Linked DNA regions of Caenorhabditis elegans. The protein of the gene in region 3 purifies or fractionates together with the protein of the main gene of each other region. This does not show direct contact. Each region holds a gene or a part of one and is shown on either strand. Other genes may lie near its edges. The genes, in order: D1022.4, enol-1, ipgm-1 and sams-1.

The links.
Region 1: the proteins of ipgm-1 (region 3) and D1022.4 fractionate together in Caenorhabditis elegans (co-fractionation; one large-scale study listed by BioGRID). This does not show direct contact.
Region 2: the proteins of ipgm-1 (region 3) and enol-1 fractionate together in Caenorhabditis elegans (co-fractionation; one large-scale study listed by BioGRID). This does not show direct contact.
Region 4: the proteins of ipgm-1 (region 3) and sams-1 fractionate together in Caenorhabditis elegans (co-fractionation; one large-scale study listed by BioGRID). This does not show direct contact.

What each region holds. Positions count from the first base shown.
Region 1 is NC_003280.10:7,455,771-7,458,949, reverse strand, and holds D1022.4 (Dienelactone hydrolase domain-containing protein), read left to right. Parts: upstream 1-1,657; 5' UTR 1,658-1,663; coding exon 1,664-1,740; intron 1,741-1,785; coding exon 1,786-1,882; intron 1,883-1,985; coding exon 1,986-2,543; 3' UTR 2,544-2,636; downstream 2,637-3,179. Other genes in the region: D1022.5 (Dienelactone hydrolase domain-containing protein), read left to right, coding at 144-220, 582-1,138, 1,186-1,283; D1022.3 (Dienelactone hydrolase domain-containing protein), read left to right, coding at 2,741-2,814, 2,993-3,179.
Region 2 is NC_003280.10:8,929,068-8,934,129, forward strand, and holds enol-1 (Enolase), read left to right. Parts: upstream 1-1,935; coding exon 1,936-2,027; intron 2,028-3,038; coding exon 3,039-3,124; intron 3,125-3,280; coding exon 3,281-4,227; intron 4,228-4,272; coding exon 4,273-4,545; downstream 4,546-5,062. Other genes in the region: cct-2 (T-complex protein 1 subunit beta), read left to right, coding at 1-197, 244-416; mrpl-50 (Large ribosomal subunit protein mL50), read left to right, coding at 786-1,318, 1,372-1,570, 1,617-1,742.
Region 3 is NC_003279.8:6,567,911-6,573,113, forward strand, and holds ipgm-1 (2,3-bisphosphoglycerate-independent phosphoglycerate mutase), read left to right. Parts: upstream 1-1,646; 5' UTR 1,647-1,698; coding exon 1,699-1,750; intron 1,751-2,176; coding exon 2,177-2,314; intron 2,315-2,363; coding exon 2,364-2,518; intron 2,519-2,565; coding exon 2,566-2,671; intron 2,672-2,718; coding exon 2,719-2,866; intron 2,867-3,067; coding exon 3,068-3,194; intron 3,195-3,465; coding exon 3,466-3,900; intron 3,901-3,943; coding exon 3,944-4,291; intron 4,292-4,409; coding exon 4,410-4,520; 3' UTR 4,521-4,686; downstream 4,687-5,203. Other genes in the region: syp-6 (Thyroid receptor-interacting protein 11), read left to right, coding at 1-278, 322-624, 670-749, 797-856. UniProt on the Caenorhabditis elegans protein: Catalyzes the interconversion of 2-phosphoglycerate and 3-phosphoglycerate.
Region 4 is NC_003284.9:11,964,022-11,970,395, reverse strand, and holds sams-1 (putative S-adenosylmethionine synthase 1), read right to left. Parts: upstream 4,435-6,374; 5' UTR 4,369-4,434; coding exon 4,300-4,368; intron 4,247-4,299; coding exon 4,063-4,246; intron 4,009-4,062; coding exon 3,216-4,008; intron 3,169-3,215; coding exon 3,003-3,168; 3' UTR 2,990-3,002; intron 742-2,989; 3' UTR 503-741; downstream 1-502. Other genes in the region: Histone-lysine N-methyltransferase set-6, read left to right, coding at 1-89. UniProt on the Caenorhabditis elegans protein: Catalyzes the formation of S-adenosylmethionine (SAM) from methionine and ATP.

The DNA.
Region 1 (3,179 bases), on a different chromosome or scaffold from region 3:
TGGTCACAAAATAATGTGTCCTTATTTTGTGCTCATCGGAGAGATTTGGAGAGCCTAGAGAAACACAAAATTCAGGAAATTTCTTATAAAAGTAGTTGAAACAACAAAAGTGAAAGTTGTTTTATTGGTGTCGCGAAGGCAAGATGTCTGTTACTCATAGTCAACTTCAATACACAGATTCCAATGGAAAAGTGTACGAAGGAGATCTTTATGTTCCAAGGTTTGTATAAATTTAAAGTTTATGTGAATTTTGCCGGAAGATTGAATTTTAGCATGAATAATAAAAGTGTGTGCGGATTAGATTGTTTTTCCTTCCACCAGTCGGATAGGTTTGCATTTGTTGACTTTCTGTTGTGTGGTGTTTTTTTGTGACAAACGATTGCCTCAACTTTATTGAAATTAGGGATTTTAAACAAATTAAAAATTTGAATCTATGTTGTAAATTTTCGATAAATGTTATGCAATATTAAATTTACTTAGCATACGAAATCTGATTGATGATTAGAATGGTAACATTTGACATCAACATAGTATCAGACTGGTTTAACTAATTATCAAACCAAACTTGTTATTTATTCCAGAACAACTAGAATGAGAAAACTTCCCGGTGTCCTTGTGTTCCCTGCATTCCGCGGAATCACCGAATTTGAAAAAGAAAAAGCGAAGGCTCTTGCTCAGGAGGGCTACATCGCATTGGCAGCTGATCCATTTGGAAAGGGAATTCATCCAAAAGACAAAGCAGAATGTTTTGCAATTGTACGCCCAATGATAATTGAGAGGAGTAAACTATTAAAGTGTGTAATAGTCGCGGCATTTGATGCCATAAAGGCTGTTCAGTGTGTAGATGTTAATAAAATTGGAGCACTTGGATTTTGTTTTGGAGGCCTATGTGCGCTTGATCTAGCCAGGTACAATGTTGGACTGAAAGCAGCCATTTCATTTCATGGCACACTGACTCCAATACCTGATGCTCCACTTGATAAGATTATTGAAACAGCTGTCCAGGTTCATCATGGAGATTCGGATGCTCATATTCCAAAAGAACAAGTCGATGGATTCCACGTGGAGATGAGAACTCGAAATGCGGATTTTGTGTTTTCCAGTCATGCACATGCTGAACATGGATTCACAGAGCCAGGTAGAAATAGTTTACGAATAACTTTACGATATATTTTTATTTTTCAGATGCTGATTCTTTCGGACTTCCCGGAGTTAAATATAACAAAAAAGCTGCGGATCGATCATGGGCATCTGCTTTGGCTTTATTTAAAGAAATATTTTAAATCTCATATTATATGCATTATTTAAATTTATATAAATTTTCATGAAAGAGAAAGAAAAATATTTGTTATTTTTAATCAGATTCAGATAACTTCAAAATTTTGGCTCAGTTTTTATGGCTTTGAACACAGTTTAAAGTCTTAATAGAGATGTAGTTTATATTGATCATTTTTGTGACAACTTTTTGGTTTGTGAACTTTCCCGAAACTATGTTTGCTACGCACTAATGAAACGTAGAGACCCAGAGAGAAAAAAACGAAAGGTCATAAATATAGCAGTTATAATGGTAATAGAGACGATACGCAGACAACGTCAAACCCCAAAAGGTATACATATATATTGACCGTCTTAGATAACTCTTGTTAGTTTTCTTCTTTTCGAGATGACCGTTACCACGAAACTTATTGATTATTCTGATGAGGAAGGTAATAACTTTGAAGGAGTTCTTTATATTCCAAAGTTTGTTTTTTATTTTTTATTTTCATTTTTTATTTATTTTTGTAGGAATGTAAAACAGTCAAAAGTTCCCGCCGTACTGATTTTCCCAGCTTTCCGAGGAATTACGCATTTCGAAAAGGACAAAGGCCAACAAATTGCCGAGGTTACTTTAAAGTCTATATTTAGTAGGTTTTACAAAATCAGGAAAACTATAACAGCTGCATTCTCAGGAATATGCTGATTTAAAAAAAAAGACCAAATTTTAGCTTGGATTCGTTGCTTTTGTTGCTGATGTCTATGGAAAAGGTGTGAGACCAACTGAACGAGCAGATGCATTTGCAACAATGGGACCGCTTGTTTCCAATCGCGTTGAGAAACTGAAACCAAGACTTTTTGCCGCTGTCAATACTTTGAAGACTTTCTCTGAAGTGGACACCTCAAAAATTGCAGCAATCGGATATTGTTTCGGTGGGCTTTGTGTTCTCGATTTGGCAAGATACAATGCTGGACTCAAAGGAGTTGTATCCTATCATGGAACTTTGAAACCAATTCCTGATATTGCTCTAGATCCAATTGTTGGAACAACTGTGTATGTTCATCACGGAGACGCAGACTTCCATATTGCAAAAGATCAAGTTGATGGATTTCATGAAGAAATGAGAACTCGTCAAGCTGATTTTGTCTTTGTATCGCATGCAAATGCAGTTCATGCTTTCACTGAGCCAGAAGCTGACAGTTTCAATGCACCAGGAATTGGTTACAATGAGAAGGCTGCAAAAAGATCATGGAATGCAACTCTCGACTTGTTCAAAGAAATCTTCTAATGTTGTACTGTACACTACGATCACAAAATTTTGTGACTTTTCTATCTCTCCGTCGTAACAAACCTGTTTGAAATAAATATGATAAGTAAATGTATAAAAGTATTTATTATGATCATTTTGTCATTTTTTGCAGAACTTTTTCTGATTCTATAAATTTTAAAGTTCAGATTTCATAGCTTTTTTCCGAATTGAAAGCTATGTCGATTCATCAAACTATTGATTATGAAGATGCGGATGGCAATTTATTTTCAGGAGAGCTGTATAAACCAAGGTTATTATTTGATTGTTTACTTGTTAAATGAAACCGTTGAACACTATGTATATCTAAAATAGATCTAAATTGATTTCAACAAATAAGAGTTTTCAAGTTATATCCGATGTCTGTGATAATTGATAATTGATATTTTAAGATTTTTGAAAAGTTTGAAACTATAATTCAATGTTTTCAGCTCCGATAACTCTACTAAACATCCCGGCGTTTTGATTTTCCCTGCATTCCGAGGAGTGTCCAAACTGGAAATTGCAAGGGCAAAATTATTGGCTGAAGAACATGGATATGTAGCTCTTGTTGCTGATATTTATGGAAAAGGAATTAGATGCACAGACATCTCATCGGCAGTGACACTGCTCCGTCCT
Region 2 (5,062 bases), on a different chromosome or scaffold from region 3:
CGAAATTTTGATGAGTTCAGCCATCGCCGTCGAAGCTCAAAAGGTTGCGGGTAAGGAAGCCCTTGCCGTTGAAGCCTTCGGAAGAGCCCTTGCTCAATTGCCAACCATCATTTGCGACAATGCTGGACTTGACTCGGCTGAACTTGTCACAAGACTCCGTGCAGAGCACGCCAATGGACGTCACAATATGGGAATCGGTTTGTTCATTTGGAAATCTAACCATTATACAAAATTATCTTTCAGACATCGAGAAAGGAGAGGTTGCTGATGTTACGAAATTGGGCGTTATTGAGTCTTACAATGTGAAGTTGTGCATGGTTTCTTCCGCCGCTGAAGCCACGGAACAAATTCTTCGCGTCGACGATATCATCAAGGCAGCTCCACGTGCCCGTGCTCAAGATAACCGACCATGCTAATCAAATTGTTCGCCAGACTGTTAAAAGATCTTCAACTTTATTCTCCCTTTTTCAGCTTTTAATCGAGTGCTTCAACACAATCGTATCTCGTTTTTTTTCGTCCCCTTCATTCTTATTTTTGATGGAATTTGATACACTTTCTGTTGCTTCTGCCTACCGTTTTTATATGCCCCCGTTTTCAATTTAATATTCGAGAATACCGCGTGTTTTTGCTTGTTGATTTGTTTTCCTTTTAAAATGAATGGAGTGCGATTTACAAAAGGTACAATATTTGAAATGTATTTTATTCCAGTTTTTATCTGATTTTTTATATTTCTGATTAAAGAGAAAAGAAAAAGCTTAAAAGAAAAAATTTAGAACTGCCAAAAGATGCACAGGAGTTTTCCGAGGCTTGTCCGATCGCAAGGTAACTTGTTGAAAGGAATGTTTGGAAAATCCGGGGAAAAGGAAGCAGTAAAGCAGCTGACACTGGAAGAACAGGAGAGCCTTCGCAAGACGCTTCCCAGCATCCGTGCTAGAGAATCCACACAAGTTACTGCTTCAGCTGATTCTGTCACTGAATTTGACGATGATCTGTTGACGATGAGCCGTATCGACACGGATGCCATCCGGGCCAGAGGTTTTCTCAAATACACGCAAAACTATGTTCCCGGCGTTGATGTCAAAAACCAAGTACTTGAAGCAGCGTCATCATGTCTAAGAAGTGCTGGAGTAAAGTCTGAAAACGTGGATCAGTACAAATTTGTGGAAGGAGATAACTCTGTAAAGTTCGAGTTGTTGAACAGGCTGGGAAAATCCATCGAACATTGGCCAACCAATGGAAAACTTCTTCATTTGGAAACAGTGGCAGACGTCGTCGAATTTTATCAGACGCCTGTCAAAAATGTAACAAAATATACAGAGTTAGTTTTTGTTTAAAGATGCTTATTGAATTATTAATTAAAATAAATTATAGAATGGCTCGCGATGAGAACAAACCGAAAAACGTCTCGATTATGGAGCATGCTGCACGTTTCCATCCTGAAGACACTCACATGTATCATGGTGGAATCACTGCATTCCCAGGATCAGGTGGTGAAGTTCTCTCTCTGAGACAGAAACGTCTACTTCGACAGTTCCAACCGAAAAAAGAATGGTTCGATTATGATGATCAGGTAATTTTTAAAGTTTCAGTGCTGACTTAAAATCGGCATTTTTCAGACATTTGATTACACTCGTCCTGACAAGAATATGCCATGGGATCCAGAAGTTGCTAATCAAATGGACAAATACACTGATAAACGATACAACCTAAAAACAAAGCAATTCACTAGGATTCGACAATAAAAAATAATTTGGTTCATTTTTGTATTAGAGTTTCATATTTAGTATTTTTAGACCTATTTTCTTTTTGTTTGATCTATCGATTTTTATTGTTGTAAATAAAATTGACGTTGAAAAAAATATTTTTGACCTCTTCACGTTTTGATCTTCCTCTAAAGTTTTGCTCTACGCAAGTTATTTCAGTTTTTGATTTAAAATGTTTGTTCCATTCACCTCGGCAGCTCACTCGCTCACTTCGCTCATTCGAGGTGGCGGGCAGCCTTCGAAAAGCAATCTGTCTGGACAAAGGTTTTGGTTATCTCTTTTTCTTTATTTTCCGCCAGTTGATTTCATGCTCCCGCGACTTCCACACGCAATCTGCAAAATTTTGGCTGCTGAATCAGGGTAATGGGGTCTGCCGTGCCTTTTTTCCAAAACGTTGACTGATGTTTACTTTTCTTTTATGTTTCATTTTGACTTGTTCAATGGTTTTGAACAATAGTGTGTGCAAACTAACGTTTTTCTTTAAATTCAACACGCAAGCTTTGAGGTGTTTTAGTTAGAAAGAAAATAGTTGTGTTTCTCTTCAAAAATAAGTTTTTTCCGAAATGTTTTGCAAATTTTCCGAATCAACAATTTCTTCTCATATCAGACCTTATCACTTCTTCTCACTTCTAAAACTGACCACTGAACATAAAAAACATTTGGTAACTCGCTTCTCAAATCCAATCTGAAGTGCATGCTTTGCCAATCTGAAACTTCGTGTAAGTCACGTATTTAGGCGAAAGGCAGCCGCTCAAGTCGTCGCTTCTCCCCAGCGGCAGTTGCTGGCGTCCTTGGCCCCTCACTTGTTTTCGAGCCCAAGGCATTGGCTCCTCTTTTCTTCTCGGCATGACGAATTTAATCATAATTCTCAATATCTAGAAGTGTTCAAGAACTTAGTGAATCTGCAATGCCTTTTTTTTGTAACTTCAGTTCGAATCTTAACTGCGTCTCTTTGAGATCTACAAACGAATTTTATTCACTGCCACGAAAAAGAGGCTGTCCGTGCGATTCTATTGAACGTGCGCTCTCGGGCCGCTCACAAACACATCTAACCAGCTGCATTTTCTCTGAGTCTCGTGTCCTCCGTGCGACCTTCGTCACTCTTTCCACTTTCTGCGCCGTCTATTGACGGCGCCGCCTTTTTCTTCTCGCACTCCTTTACCCCTTCTCGCCTCAAACATTTTATCTTTTCAGTTGTTTTGTTTACTAGTGCCCGTTTCTCACGTAGTTTTATATACTTGTTTGATTATTGAAAACATATAGTTCATTTTGCAGGATGCCAATCACCAAGATCCACGCTCGCCAAATCTACGACTCCCGCGGAAACCCAACTGTTGAGGTTGATCTTTTCACTGAGAAAGGTAAGCGAGCATTGTATAAATTCTATCAAAACTTGAAAAACCAATCTAGATTTGAATAAAATAAGATTAATCTTGTTTTATTCAAATCTGAAATTTCATGAAGTATATTTCAACATTATGACGCAATTCCGAAATCACATCATTTCTTGTTTCCAGGAGTCTTCCGTGCCGCAGTTCCATCTGGAGCTTCTACTGGAGTTCATGAGGCCCTCGAGCTTCGTGACGGTGACAAGGCTGTTCACCTCGGAAAGGGGGTTCTCAAGGCCGTCTCGAACATCAACGAGAAGATCGCTCCAGCTCTGATCGCCAAGGGATTCGATGTCACTGCACAGAAGGACATTGACGACTTCATGATGGCTTTGGATGGATCGGAAAACAAGGGAAACCTCGGAGCTAACGCCATTCTCGGAGTTTCACTTGCTGTCGCCAAGGCTGGAGCCGTACACAAGGGACTCCCACTCTACAAGTACATCGCCGAGCTTGCAGGAACTGGAAAGGTTGTGCTCCCTGTTCCAGCCTTCAACGTCATCAATGGTGGATCTCACGCTGGAAACAAGCTCGCTATGCAAGAATTCATGATTCTTCCAGTTGGAGCTTCCAGCTTCGCTGAAGCCATGCGCATGGGATCAGAAGTCTACCACCACTTGAAGGCTGAAATTAAGAAGAGATATGGACTCGATGCCACCGCTGTTGGAGATGAAGGAGGTTTCGCTCCAAATATTCAAGACAACAAGGAAGGACTTGACCTTCTCAACACTGCCATCGACAAGGCTGGATACACTGGAAAGATTTCCATTGGAATGGATGTCGCAGCATCGGAATTCTTCAAGGACGGAAAGTACGATTTGGATTTCAAAAACCCAGCTTCAGACTCCTCCAAGTGGCTCTCTGGAGAGCAACTGACCGAGCTCTACCAATCTTTCATCAAGGAGTATCCAGTTGTCTCTATTGAGGATGCTTTCGATCAGGATGATTGGGATAACTGGGGCAAATTCCACGGTGCCACTTCCATTCAGCTTGTCGGAGACGATTTGACTGTAACCAATCCAAAGAGAATTCAAACTGCCATCGACAAGAAGTCATGTAACTGCCTCCTTCTCAAGGTTGGTTATTTTCTTATTCTGCTTCATACATAAGTTTCTTTTCAGGTTAATCAAATCGGATCCGTCACAGAGTCAATCGAAGCAGCCAAGCTCTCCCGTGCCAATGGATGGGGAGTTATGGTCTCTCACAGATCCGGAGAGACTGAAGACACTTTTATCGCTGATCTCGTTGTTGGACTTGCCACTGGACAAATCAAGACTGGTGCTCCATGCCGTTCTGAGCGTTTGGCCAAGTACAACCAGCTTCTCCGCATCGAAGAGGAACTCGGAGCTGATGCTGTTTACGCTGGACACAACTTCAGAAACCCACAAGTGTAGATCACTCAATCTAACCTATAAATACTGTGTATTTTCGTACTTTCTTCTCAAAATTGCCCTCCCTTTTTATGTAGTCACCTTTTTACCCTATTTTAGTGCTTGACCAGTTTAAAGTTGATTCCATTGTAGATTATTTATTGTACTTGTAATATGAAGATTGGACATGAAAATTTTAACGAAAACAAACATCTGGTTATTTAATTCGGTTTTTGTTTTTTTCTAACTACGGTATCTGTTAAAGGAGCACGCGTTAATTTGGCTCAGGGTCCCGCGACGAAAACTACCATCGCGCGAACGCGTACGCGCCAAAAGTTCTGAAATACATTTTCATCATTTCTTTTGTCACACATTTCGTGCCATGTCATTTACGAAGTGGGTCTGATTTCAAACCAACTGAAAATTCGAGAATTATCGCTCATTTTTATGTCTTATGTTTCGAAAATATAATCAATGCATTTCATTGATTTGTTTTCGTTTCGTTTCGTCGGCATTTTTCAGTTCTCCTGTTCTGCTAAAT
Region 3 (5,203 bases):
TGAAGTTATTCGGAAGATTACATCGGAGCTAAATGAATCTGCTACTTCTGAAGATTCAACATTCGATGACGATACAGGCACAACACAGGATGAGTCTGGATTGAATGCATTCTTTAATTCTCCGGTTAGCAAAGAACAAACTTCAATGCGTCCACAGTTTTCAATGATTGCTCATATGGAGAAGTATGATACAATGCAGGCCAAGAAAAACATGGATAAATTGCCTGATAATGTTCGCCGAGAAAGCGAAATGGAACACATTTCCCATAATTACGGCCGTAATAATAATTTTTACAGTACGAAAAATTCTGATTACTTCAGGTCCCTCTGAAGTTAACCGCCCGGCGAGTGTTTCATCTAAACGCCACGATCCGGCTGCAAGTATATCGGCAACATCGGAAGAGTCGATCCTATCTGGAACCACTCAGGATGAATCTATGCTCAATGATTTCTTCAATCCAACAGGCACCGACGAAAAACTTAACGACGTTGAGTTTTCCATGACTGCGCATGTGGCAGAATTCGATAACAGACAAAAAGCAAAAAGAGCTGCAGAGCAAATTAAGAAGAGTTCTTCAAAAATATCTGGCAAAAAAGAGGAATCAGTTGCAGATGATAAAAGTGGTTCTTGAATTCTGAATAAGCTTGACAATTTGCAACTATTTTCAGGCTCTGGCAACAGCTACGTAGCTGAAAGTGAAGCTGGCTTCTCACAAGGATCTGAGGAAAACGAATCCATGGATGATGAGGTTTGTGTCTCTTAATGGAATATTCATGAAACATTTATTGTTTTCAGGATTTGGTTGCTCCAGATGATGGCGGTCTAGATCAAACGATTTGGGATGGTGACGACTAAAACTTTCTACATTCTAATTTAATTCATACTTTTTTGTGTTCCTCTTATACGGAATTTTCGCGTAATCTTGTACTATTCCATCATGTTCCTATTGTTTGTGATCTGTTATAAGTTATAAATCATTGTTCTTTAATATTTCAATATTATTGCTGTCACTGTCAAAATGCTAATTAAATTTATCTTTAAAAATCAATTTAAATGTTTAAGTCCTGTAAATATTTATTAAACCGTCGAATTTCAGGAAAAATAACTGTTATAAAATTTATTTTACATGTTAACATGCATGTTAGAAAAGAAGAATTTTACATGTCAACATGCATGTTAGAAAAGAAGAGTACTTGAGAAATTACAAAAGTTTGTATGTATTTACTTGTTTCAATAGTTTTCATTTGTCTGTGGTCGTTGTCTCGCTGAAAAAGACGGGCGGTGCGAGAAAAAGGGTTTTATTTGGACACTAAACTCAATAAAGATACACTTTTTTGATTTCGCTCGCTAAAACTTTTCAATTTCAATACTTCACTTTTGCATCATTTTTCGTGCAGCTCTCTGCGTCTCCGCTTTCAAACACTTCTATTTTGGGTCAATTCTGTTTTTTTTCTTGTTCAGTTTCGAATCAATAGTTTAGCGCGGCTCCAAACATCTAGAAAATCCTTCAAGAAGAGAGCACGAGAAATTGAGAATTTCTTGAGAAATGAGAGAAATGTTAGAGATACGTGATAGAAGAGTTGTTTACGTGCAAAAATCTCACACAGAAAACGTTTCTCAATTTTATTCTCATTTCTTTCAACATTTCAATAAGTCAATGAAATAGTGCTTGACAGAAGAGACGGAGAGAAATAGAGATGTTCGTAGCCCTGGGCGCTCAAATTTATCGGCAATATTTCGGACGACGCGGTGAGCGGTTTTTGGATTCTTGTTGTTCTCTTTTTTAATTTTTTTCTCACTGGTTATATTTTAAATTTCTCGAAACAAAATTGATCGATGATCAAACTTCTTATTTGATAACGAATCAACAGTTTTGATTTAATTCCATTTTTCATAATCTCGTCATTTTGTTTTGCCTTTTTTTTAATTGTCCTTTTTTCTTTCTAATACCTATTTTTATATTAATTGATTGCTAATGTTTTAATTTTAATGGAGGTTACATTTAAAAGTTTTGCTCCGAATATATTTGAAAGAAATTCCTTCACAAGCATCATCTAGTATTTTTATTCTTTTTATATTTTGTGCGAGAAATCACAATCCCCCTATAACAGCTAATAGTTTTCGCCTTTAAACTCAAAAATTTTTCAATTTGCATCATATTCCGATATTTTTCAGGAATGGCGATGGCAAATAACAGTTCGGTGGCCAATAAGGTCTGTCTCATCGTTATTGATGGATGGGGAGTTTCTGAAGATCCTTACGGTAACGCTATTCTCAACGCACAGACACCAGTTATGGACAAGCTGTGTTCGGGTAAGATTTTATTTATTTCAAAATTGTTAACCCAAGAACATTTTTCCAGGCAATTGGGCTCAAATTGAGGCACATGGTCTTCATGTTGGTCTCCCAGAAGGATTGATGGGAAATTCGGAAGTCGGACATTTGAACATCGGAGCCGGACGTGTTATCTATCAAGACATTGTTCGTATTAATCTGGCAGTCAAGAACAACAAATTTGTATGCTTCCAATATTATTTCAGAATATTATATTTCGTAAATTTTAGGTGACTAATGAGAGCTTGGTGGATGCTTGCGATCGTGCTAAAAACGGAAATGGACGTCTTCATCTGGCCGGACTTGTTTCTGACGGAGGTGTTCATTCTCATATTGGTAATATTCATTTATTTATTTTCAATTTATGATTTTTCTCATTTCAGATCACATGTTTGCTTTGGTTAAGGCCATCAAAGAGCTCGGAGTTCCAGAACTTTACCTTCATTTCTACGGAGATGGTCGTGATACTTCTCCAAACAGTGGAGTTGGATTCCTTGAACAAACCCTCGAGTTCTTGGAGAAAACTACTGGGTTAGAATAATGTGATAATTTATGGGGTTATTCAAGTAGTGTCGGAAAATTAAAAAGTGTAGAAAAATTACGCCACAACTGTATTCAAGTATATAAAAACATGTATTTAAATACATTTGTGACGTCACAAATATATTTAAATACATTTCGCTACATTACTTGAATAACCCCATTAGGAAACATGTTTAAAAATATTTTCAGATATGGAAAACTAGCTACTGTAGTTGGCCGCTACTATGCTATGGATCGCGATAACAGATGGGAGCGTATCAATGTTGCATACGAGGCAATGATTGGAGGTGTTGGAGAGACTTCCGATGAGGCTGGGGTATGATTTTAGCGTATAAACTGATTAACAATTCAAAAGACGAAGAATGAACAGTTTTGGATTTCGTTTAATTATAATTTTCTAGGTATCAAAAATCATTTACTAAATATAAAGTAGTTTTCTTCCGTACAATGTATGATATACCAAGATGCAAACTTTTCACTTTAAATCAACAAAAATTCAAATTCATTTCAATTAAAAATGTTTCCGAGAGAAATTCGAATTCTAATTTCAGCAAGTTTAAATAATATCTAAAATTATCATTTTCCAGGTTGTTGAAGTTGTTCGCAAGCGTTACGCTGCTGATGAAACAGACGAATTCTTGAAGCCAATCATTCTTCAAGGAGAGAAAGGACGTGTTCAAAATGACGATACAATCATCTTCTTCGACTACCGTGCTGATCGTATGCGTGAGATTTCTGCAGCAATGGGAATGGATCGTTACAAGGATTGCAATTCGAAGTTAGCTCATCCATCAAATCTTCAAGTATATGGAATGACTCAATACAAAGCCGAGTTCCCATTCAAATCGCTGTTCCCGCCAGCATCGAACAAAAATGTATTGGCTGAGTGGCTCGCCGAGCAAAAAGTTTCGCAATTTCATTGTGCGGAAACCGAAAAATACGCTCACGTTACATTTTTCTTCAATGGAGGACTTGAAAAACAATTTGAGGGAGAAGAAAGGTGTTTAGTGCCCAGTCCAAAGGTAATACTTTGATGATATAACTTCGAAAATTGAATATTTCCAGGTCGCAACTTACGATCTTCAACCAGAAATGTCTGCGGCCGGCGTTGCTGACAAAATGATTGAACAACTCGAGGCTGGAACTCATCCATTCATTATGTGCAACTTTGCTCCACCAGATATGGTCGGGCATACGGGAGTCTATGAAGCTGCTGTCAAGGCCTGTGAAGCTACTGATATCGCAATCGGAAGAATCTATGAAGCAACTCAAAAGCACGGATACTCACTTATGGTTACTGCTGATCACGGAAATGCTGAAAAGATGAAGGCTCCAGATGGTGGAAAACACACTGCTCACACATGTTACCGTGTTCCACTCACTTTGAGCCATCCAGGATTCAAATTTGTCGATGTGAGTTTTTGTCAAACGTTTGAAATTTTTATTTAAAAAAAAACAGAAACCCATATGTTAAATGAAAATATTAATTTACAAACGGGTGTAAATAGCTATTCACTTCACACGTTTACAGCCAGCCGACCGTCATCCGGCCCTTTGTGATGTTGCTCCAACAGTTCTCGCTATTATGGGACTCCCTCAACCAGCTGAAATGACTGGGGTCTCGATTGTTCAGAAGATCTAGATTCAAGTACAATGATTTCAATATTCAAGTTCTATGAACTATATTTTCTACAGTATTCTTTTGTCCAATTTCTTCCCAATTACCTACTATTCAATTCTGTTTATAGTCTGAAAATTTTTATGTATTTAGATCCTTAAATTAGTATGAATAAAATTATATTGCACTGAGAAAATATTTCATTCATTACTATGACCTGTCGGATGACTCATATTCTATTTGCTATTTATGTTTTTTTTCTTGCTCCGGAATGAGCTCTGTAGTCAGTTGCTCAACATTTTTGAAGGGTCAATTGATGGTGACATTTGGCCAATAGACACACTGAGCACATCTGCGGAGCACTCTGACGGCTCGCAAAAGATTGATTTGATCGGACTTTTACTGGGACGAACTGAGAAAAACCATTGGTTTTCTCTGCGTCTCTTAATTTCTCAAACTCTCTTGATTTAGTATCTTATCGTTTCTTCTAATGCTCTCTCTGTGTGACATTTTTCATTATAGTTTCTCGAAAATTCTTTGGAGAAAATGTTGCTAGCATTTTGATGTCACTTTCGTTTGAAAACTCCAGAAACCTCGCCTTTTCCTTATCGTTTTTTAGCATCACTCAGTTAAAATGACCTATTTGTGCCACGAACCCAGTTTTATTGAGAAAAATCGAAATTACTAGGTGAAATTCTATTTTTCGT
Region 4 (6,374 bases), on a different chromosome or scaffold from region 3:
ACCTGAAATGGAGGCGACAATTGTCTACAGCGACTTGTGAACGTTTGGAAAACGTTATTGAAATTGAACTGTCCGACGAAGATTCATAACTGCCATAAAATATGATCTAAATTTTAATATTTATGTAATAATTGTATCAAATTTGCTCTATTAAGCATGCACTTCATTGCTGAACTTTGGAATTTAATATTATCAGTTAATACAGTTTTACATATACAGTTTTAAAATAGTGCACTACGAATAGAGCAAACCAGATGTGTGACAAATATTATTTAGTTATGTTGATGTATTTATAGTCATTATGAATTTATTTAATGTGCATTTATATAATACATCGAATAGAAAAAAGTTTTGAATGAAATTGTGTGAATTCTAAAGCTTGTAAACGTTTGGAGACAGTATTACAATAATAAGTGGCAATAGTGAAGCGCCAGGCAATAGTGAAGCGCCAGACTGTACGTTTGGCTAAAATGTCATGTTTCAAATTTCCTCACCTGAGCATTTTTGTCGTTGCCGGTTTATTCATCCAAACGGTTAACATTTTGTACAGAAAAGCAAAAAAACATGAGTCTTCAGGTGTAACAGAGAGCATAATATGATCTTATCGATGGGAAAGTGAACTATGTCTGTGTTAAAATTGAAAGAAGAAAATATTGCATTTGTCACGTAGCCATCGAGTTATTTTAGACGTGATAGATTAAGAAACAAAGTGAATGCATTCATAAAGTTCGGATTCTCGCTCTGAAATAAAGAGTAAATTTATTATTTGCATTTTTCAAATTAAAATCAAAGGATTTTAAATATTCGATGTTTTGTTCTAATCATGAACAATAGTAAGAAGAAAAAACGTGAATTTATCATTTAATACTGATAATCTCACCTGTTGATGATCATTCTGGATTGCGAGGTGTCTTTAAAGATATTTAAGTATTTGAAAACTCCGCTGACTCTTTTCAAGCAGAGAGTCAGTCGAAATGAACAAAAGCAAAGTTTTGAAATCAGTTTGCCTCTTTGTATAGATTTGTGAAAATAGTGAGATTATTCTCATTCCTTACTTGTAATACTATTTTTGAGCTCTTTTTGTGTCTGCGTCTATGGTGTCAGGTGATATCCCATAATTATTAGCTTCGAGAAAAATAGAAAAGGAAAACACCACTAGAGAGGTTTTGACGAAAATAGAATGTATTATTAAAGCTGGTTTTTTTTCGAGATTTCGTATTTAGATATTTTCGCTAAATAGATTTTCCTGAATTAGTGTGACGTGGATATGATGAATCGAGAGATATTATGCAAGCTTTGTGGAATTTGTGGAAAGCAATCACGATGTATTCTCAGCACTAGATACAAAATGAAGTTATCATGATTAATTCATATTGGAATTGCTTTTTGTTGTTTGGAAAACAAAAACACTTCAAGAAGAATGCGAAAAGTATATATTTTGAAAACATTGTAATTATTTAAATTGAACAACGTTCAACGTTTTAGAATTAAGTTTAACAACAATGAACAAATAAATCTCCAAAAAAGTTAAATTTTTTAATTTAAAAGTTAATTTTTTTGGCAGAATTTTAATGTTATTTTTAAAAACGAGCAAATTAGTCGAAATTGAATAAAACTCTTACATGCAAATTAAATTTGAAGTATTGAGTGTAAACAACTTCAATAACTTTTTGTGCGGAACGAAACCTATTCACAAAAATACTTACTGCATCTCTTTCGGTCTGATGTTGAAAAATTACGGACCAATTATCACTATTCTTGAAATCTGCCGAAAACTGGAAAAGTTTCTATAATGTGGCAAAAGTACGTAATAAGTTAGAATCAAGTATTTAAAAAAGTATATTAATATCTTAGTAACACCGTTCAAATTTTCTGGCAGCTAATTAAGTTACCAGGTTATTGCCATGAAATTTTTTGTCGAGATGCTGAACCGAAAAATGGTTGCATCAGGAAATTATGTAATTGTGGTTTGGCATTAAACGATATCTCTCTAGGGCGTATTTTGAGTTTCCATGAAGCAGTTGAGCTTCAAGTTTTCAAACATACGATAATGTTTTCTTTTCATGATGTCGAAAGTTTTTTTTTTCTGTAAATTACATTTTATCAAGTTTTTTGTCTCATTTGGTCTTTGTGTCAATTTCACCTTCTTGGTTATCTTTATCAATGCGGGAGCGTTTTACGACTCACCCAGTCTTATCTTGCAGAAAATCTTTTTTCTTTATCATCCTTAGAATGTTTGATGTTTCTTATTTTCAACACAAATTTCGAAAAATTTATATTTTAAAACTTTATTTCCCAAAGTTAAATGTCAAGCATAATTATGAATGGAAATAAGCAATTCAGTGAACTACCACCGAAGGATTATTACAATTTAACAAAATATGTATTAATTATAACCAAAGATTTGATGGTGCTTAAAAATCGTACGATACCACTCAGTTGGTGGCAGTTGAGACATTGAGCAATGAGGAAGTTATGAGAAAGGATATTTAATACTATGTAATTGGAGAAAATATGTTTCGGGCATTAGAAACTGTCAAGAACTATTTTTTTGCGTTGTGATGTTTTTTTTTAATATGAATTTTTTGAAAATGAAGCTATTCTAAAAGTCAAGACAGCTCAGCGGGTAGCGGAAACCGGGGACTTAAAAAAGAGAAGGCACTGTTGAAAAATGCTCTGAAGAGTGCACATCATCAGTGAACAGGAAGGGACAGAAAATTGGGGGATCGCATCAGAGTAAGAGGCTGGTGGGGGAGGAAAGGGAAAAGGTCAAAATACGTTAATCGTTTTTTTTTAAATACGGCGAGGTGTTGGTCATCTAGCTGAATTGAAAATGTAATTAGTTGCCTAAACTTAATTTAATACTCTAACTTGTTTTTTTTTTCAGTTTTTTCAAGGGGTCTATCCACAAAATCGGACTAATTTAAACTATTGGTGCCTAGCATACAATAAAACGAGATTGATTATTTAAAAAATAAGTTTTGCATACCGAGGCAAAAAAATTAGTGAGCGATAGCAGATGTGGCTGGGATTGGGTTTCCCTTGGCCTTCTCGAGAAGTGCTGGAGAAATCTTGAGAGCTTTTGGCTGCTCCCATGGGAACTCAGAGTGACCGAAGTGACCGTTCTCGGCGGTCTTCTCGTAGATTGGTCTCTTGAGGTCGAGCTCCCTGTAAAAAACCAATGAAATTTCTCCTATCTAGCTGTATTCACTTACTTGATAATTTTTCCTGGGGTAAGATCGAAGGAGTCTTCGACGATCTGGTGAAGCTCTTCGTCGGTGAGTGGGGAAGTTCCGAAAGCATAGACCAAAACTGAGATTGGCTTGGCGATTCCAATAGCGTAGGAAAGTTGGACGAGGACGCGCTTAGCAAGTCCAGCCTTGACCAATGAGGTGGCTACCCAACGGGCAGCGTAGGCAGCAGAGCGATCGACCTTGGTTGGGTCCTTTCCAGAGAAAGCACCTCCTCCGTGAGCTCCCCATCCTCCGTAGGTGTCGACGATGATCTTACGTCCGGTGACTCCTGCGTCTCCCATTGGTCCTCCAACGATGAAGGTTCCGCATGGGTTGATGTGGAAGACAGTAGACTCGTCCAAAAGAGAAGCTGGGATGACCTTCTTGATAACATCAGCGAGGATGGTCTCGCGGAGTTTCTCAAGAGTAACATCTGGAGAGTGTTGGGTAGAGACCACAACAGTGTGAACGCGGAGTGGAATGGTTGCTCCGTGGCGGGACTCGTACTCAATGGTGACTTGAGACTTGGAGTCTGGGCGGACCCATGGAAGAGTTCCGTTACGGCGGAGCTTGTGAAGCTCAGCGTTGATCTTGTGGGAAAGAATGAGAGTCAATGGCATGGTCTCTTCGGTCTCGTCGGTTGCATATCCGAACATGATTCCTTGATCTCCTGCTCCGACATCTTCTCCGTCCTTGTTGACGTGAACTCCGGCAGCAATTTCTGGAGATTGTTGCTCAAGAGCAACAAGCACGTTGCAGGTCTTGTGGTCGAATCCTGAACAAAAACATTGAAACAAGCTAATAATAAAGCAAGATTCTATAAACTAACCAATGCTGGAGTCGGTGAATCCAATCTTTTCGATGACACGACGGACGAGAACTTGATAGTCAACAACAGCCTTGGAGGTAATTTCTCCGCAGAGCATAACCATACCAGTTTTTGTTACGGTCTCGCAAGCAACCTTTGCATTTGGATCTTGCTTAAGATGAGCATCGAGAACGGCGTCAGAAATCTAAAAAAAACAGAAATAGATAAAATTAAATAAATAAAACAAAAAAAACTTACTTGATCGCACATTTTGTCTGGATGCCCCTCGGACACAGATTCACTGGTGAAAAGGAATTTGGAGGACATTTCTGAGTTTTAAGACTGAGAAGCGATTTAGAATGGCTTGTTCGCACAGTCGGACACTGCCCTTATAAAGAACCCAGCGATATTCGAAGGCGGAGTCACACAGACAACCCAGTTTTTATCTCTGCGTCGTCCGTACTCTCGCAAGTCCTATCTTTTTTGACTGTTTCACCACTTTGATGTTATCTTTCTCGAGAGGCAAATGAGAGGAAATGGCGACAAAGAGCGATCAGGATTGGATAGGTGGAGGGTTGTGGTGACAAGAATAGCATGGTGATTAACATTTCGTGATTATGATCCACGTTTAGTTGGTGTCAGCGGTCTAGTCAATTTTTCCTTTATCACTCCGAAATCTCTTACCACACTTGAATTATGCTAGGATGTTTGGTTCTTCTGTAAAATATTTCGCTTTTTAAAAGTTGCCCTAAGTTTCAATTTTTAAAGAATGTGCATAGTACAGGAGTGTCGAATATTCTGACTAAACTCAAATTTTCGACAGGTTTTACAGTTCATCTTTAAGAGCTTTATGTAAATTTAATAACTTTATAATTCTGGCTGTCTTGTAAAATCACATTTTTTCTACGTGATCTTTGTTCAAATCGGTCATATATACATATGTTATTTTTTCAATAGATGTAGGTACACTATTTGATAAAAACGGCAACGTGAGTTACCCACGTGGTTTTCTTCAACTGGTTTTATGGCGGGATTGGTCAATTTCAAGGTTTTGTAGAGAAGAATAACATTTAGGGATTTTTAATTACATTGAAAATCGGTACTTGTGTATTTTTTCACATTTTAAGAATTAAATGTTATTTTCATTAATTGAATCAATTAAATGAAATGCGATACACATTTTTTTAAAGGTTTAGAAACTAAGTTTTTCTAATCCTGGAATACAATGTATTCCGCACGTTTTTTTTTTTCAAAAGTTCAAGTTTTTTAGTGGAGTTATAATACACAAATTCCGAAAATTCTTATATGAACTGTGAGTTTTCACTATTTTAGTTTAATGGTATGAAAGAAAAATGTGAGAACTATAAATGCTTTTCTTGTAATTATCATGATAGAACTATTGGTCAAAAATGCTGGAATTTTTGAGAATGACTAGAAACACATCATTCTTTCGTCAGTTCCCACAGACAATATCTTCTTTATCTCATTATAGAAAAAAAAACTTGGTCATCGTTGCAAGCATGACATAGAAAGATCACAATTTGATCTAATATCAGTCAATTACTATCGTTCAATTTCCATGAAAAAGTAATGTCTTGTAGCATGCCTGAGTCTATCATGCCATTACCCTCATCGGTTTCCCTCTAACTGATAACCACCGTTTGAACTACCATTTTGGATGAACCGCAACGATTTTTATTTTGATAAGAACCTCGAATTTTCTATTAACTTTTTTAGGGGATCTGCAAAAAAAAACGCTACATTCTTTGTTTTGGTATTTTGAACTTTGTTTTCTTTTTGGTGAACTATTTACTATTTTTGAGATGATTTAACAGATTGATCTACCATTTTTGTCTTACAGTCTTTTCTTTGCTCTTAATTTTTCGCAGAAGACAATTGTTGTGGATGTCAACTAATTTTATGTTTTATTTGTGTTTCAAGACTGAACAGCAACACAGTTTTAAAAATCACAAATTTCTCTTTTTTCAATTTTTTTGAATATTTTTGACTCATTTTGCATTTTTTAAACTCTTCTACACCCCAAAATTCTCTGAAGTTTTACACACCCGTGTGCTAGAGTCGACTAAAACTGTTTTCTAATATTAATTACATTCGGATATTTTCTGACAACATGATTTTCAAATTACAGTAGAGCTAGTTTAATTTTTGACAAAGTCTGTAGCTTCTACAAATTCATTTTGAAACCTTGTTCATGCTCACTCGAAGCAAAAAATTTTCAAAATTTATTAGATGTGCTATCATTTATGTTTTCCCATGTTCAGTTCAAAATACAAAAAGCGGTTCCGAAATATTTTTCTCCGGAATATTTAGAA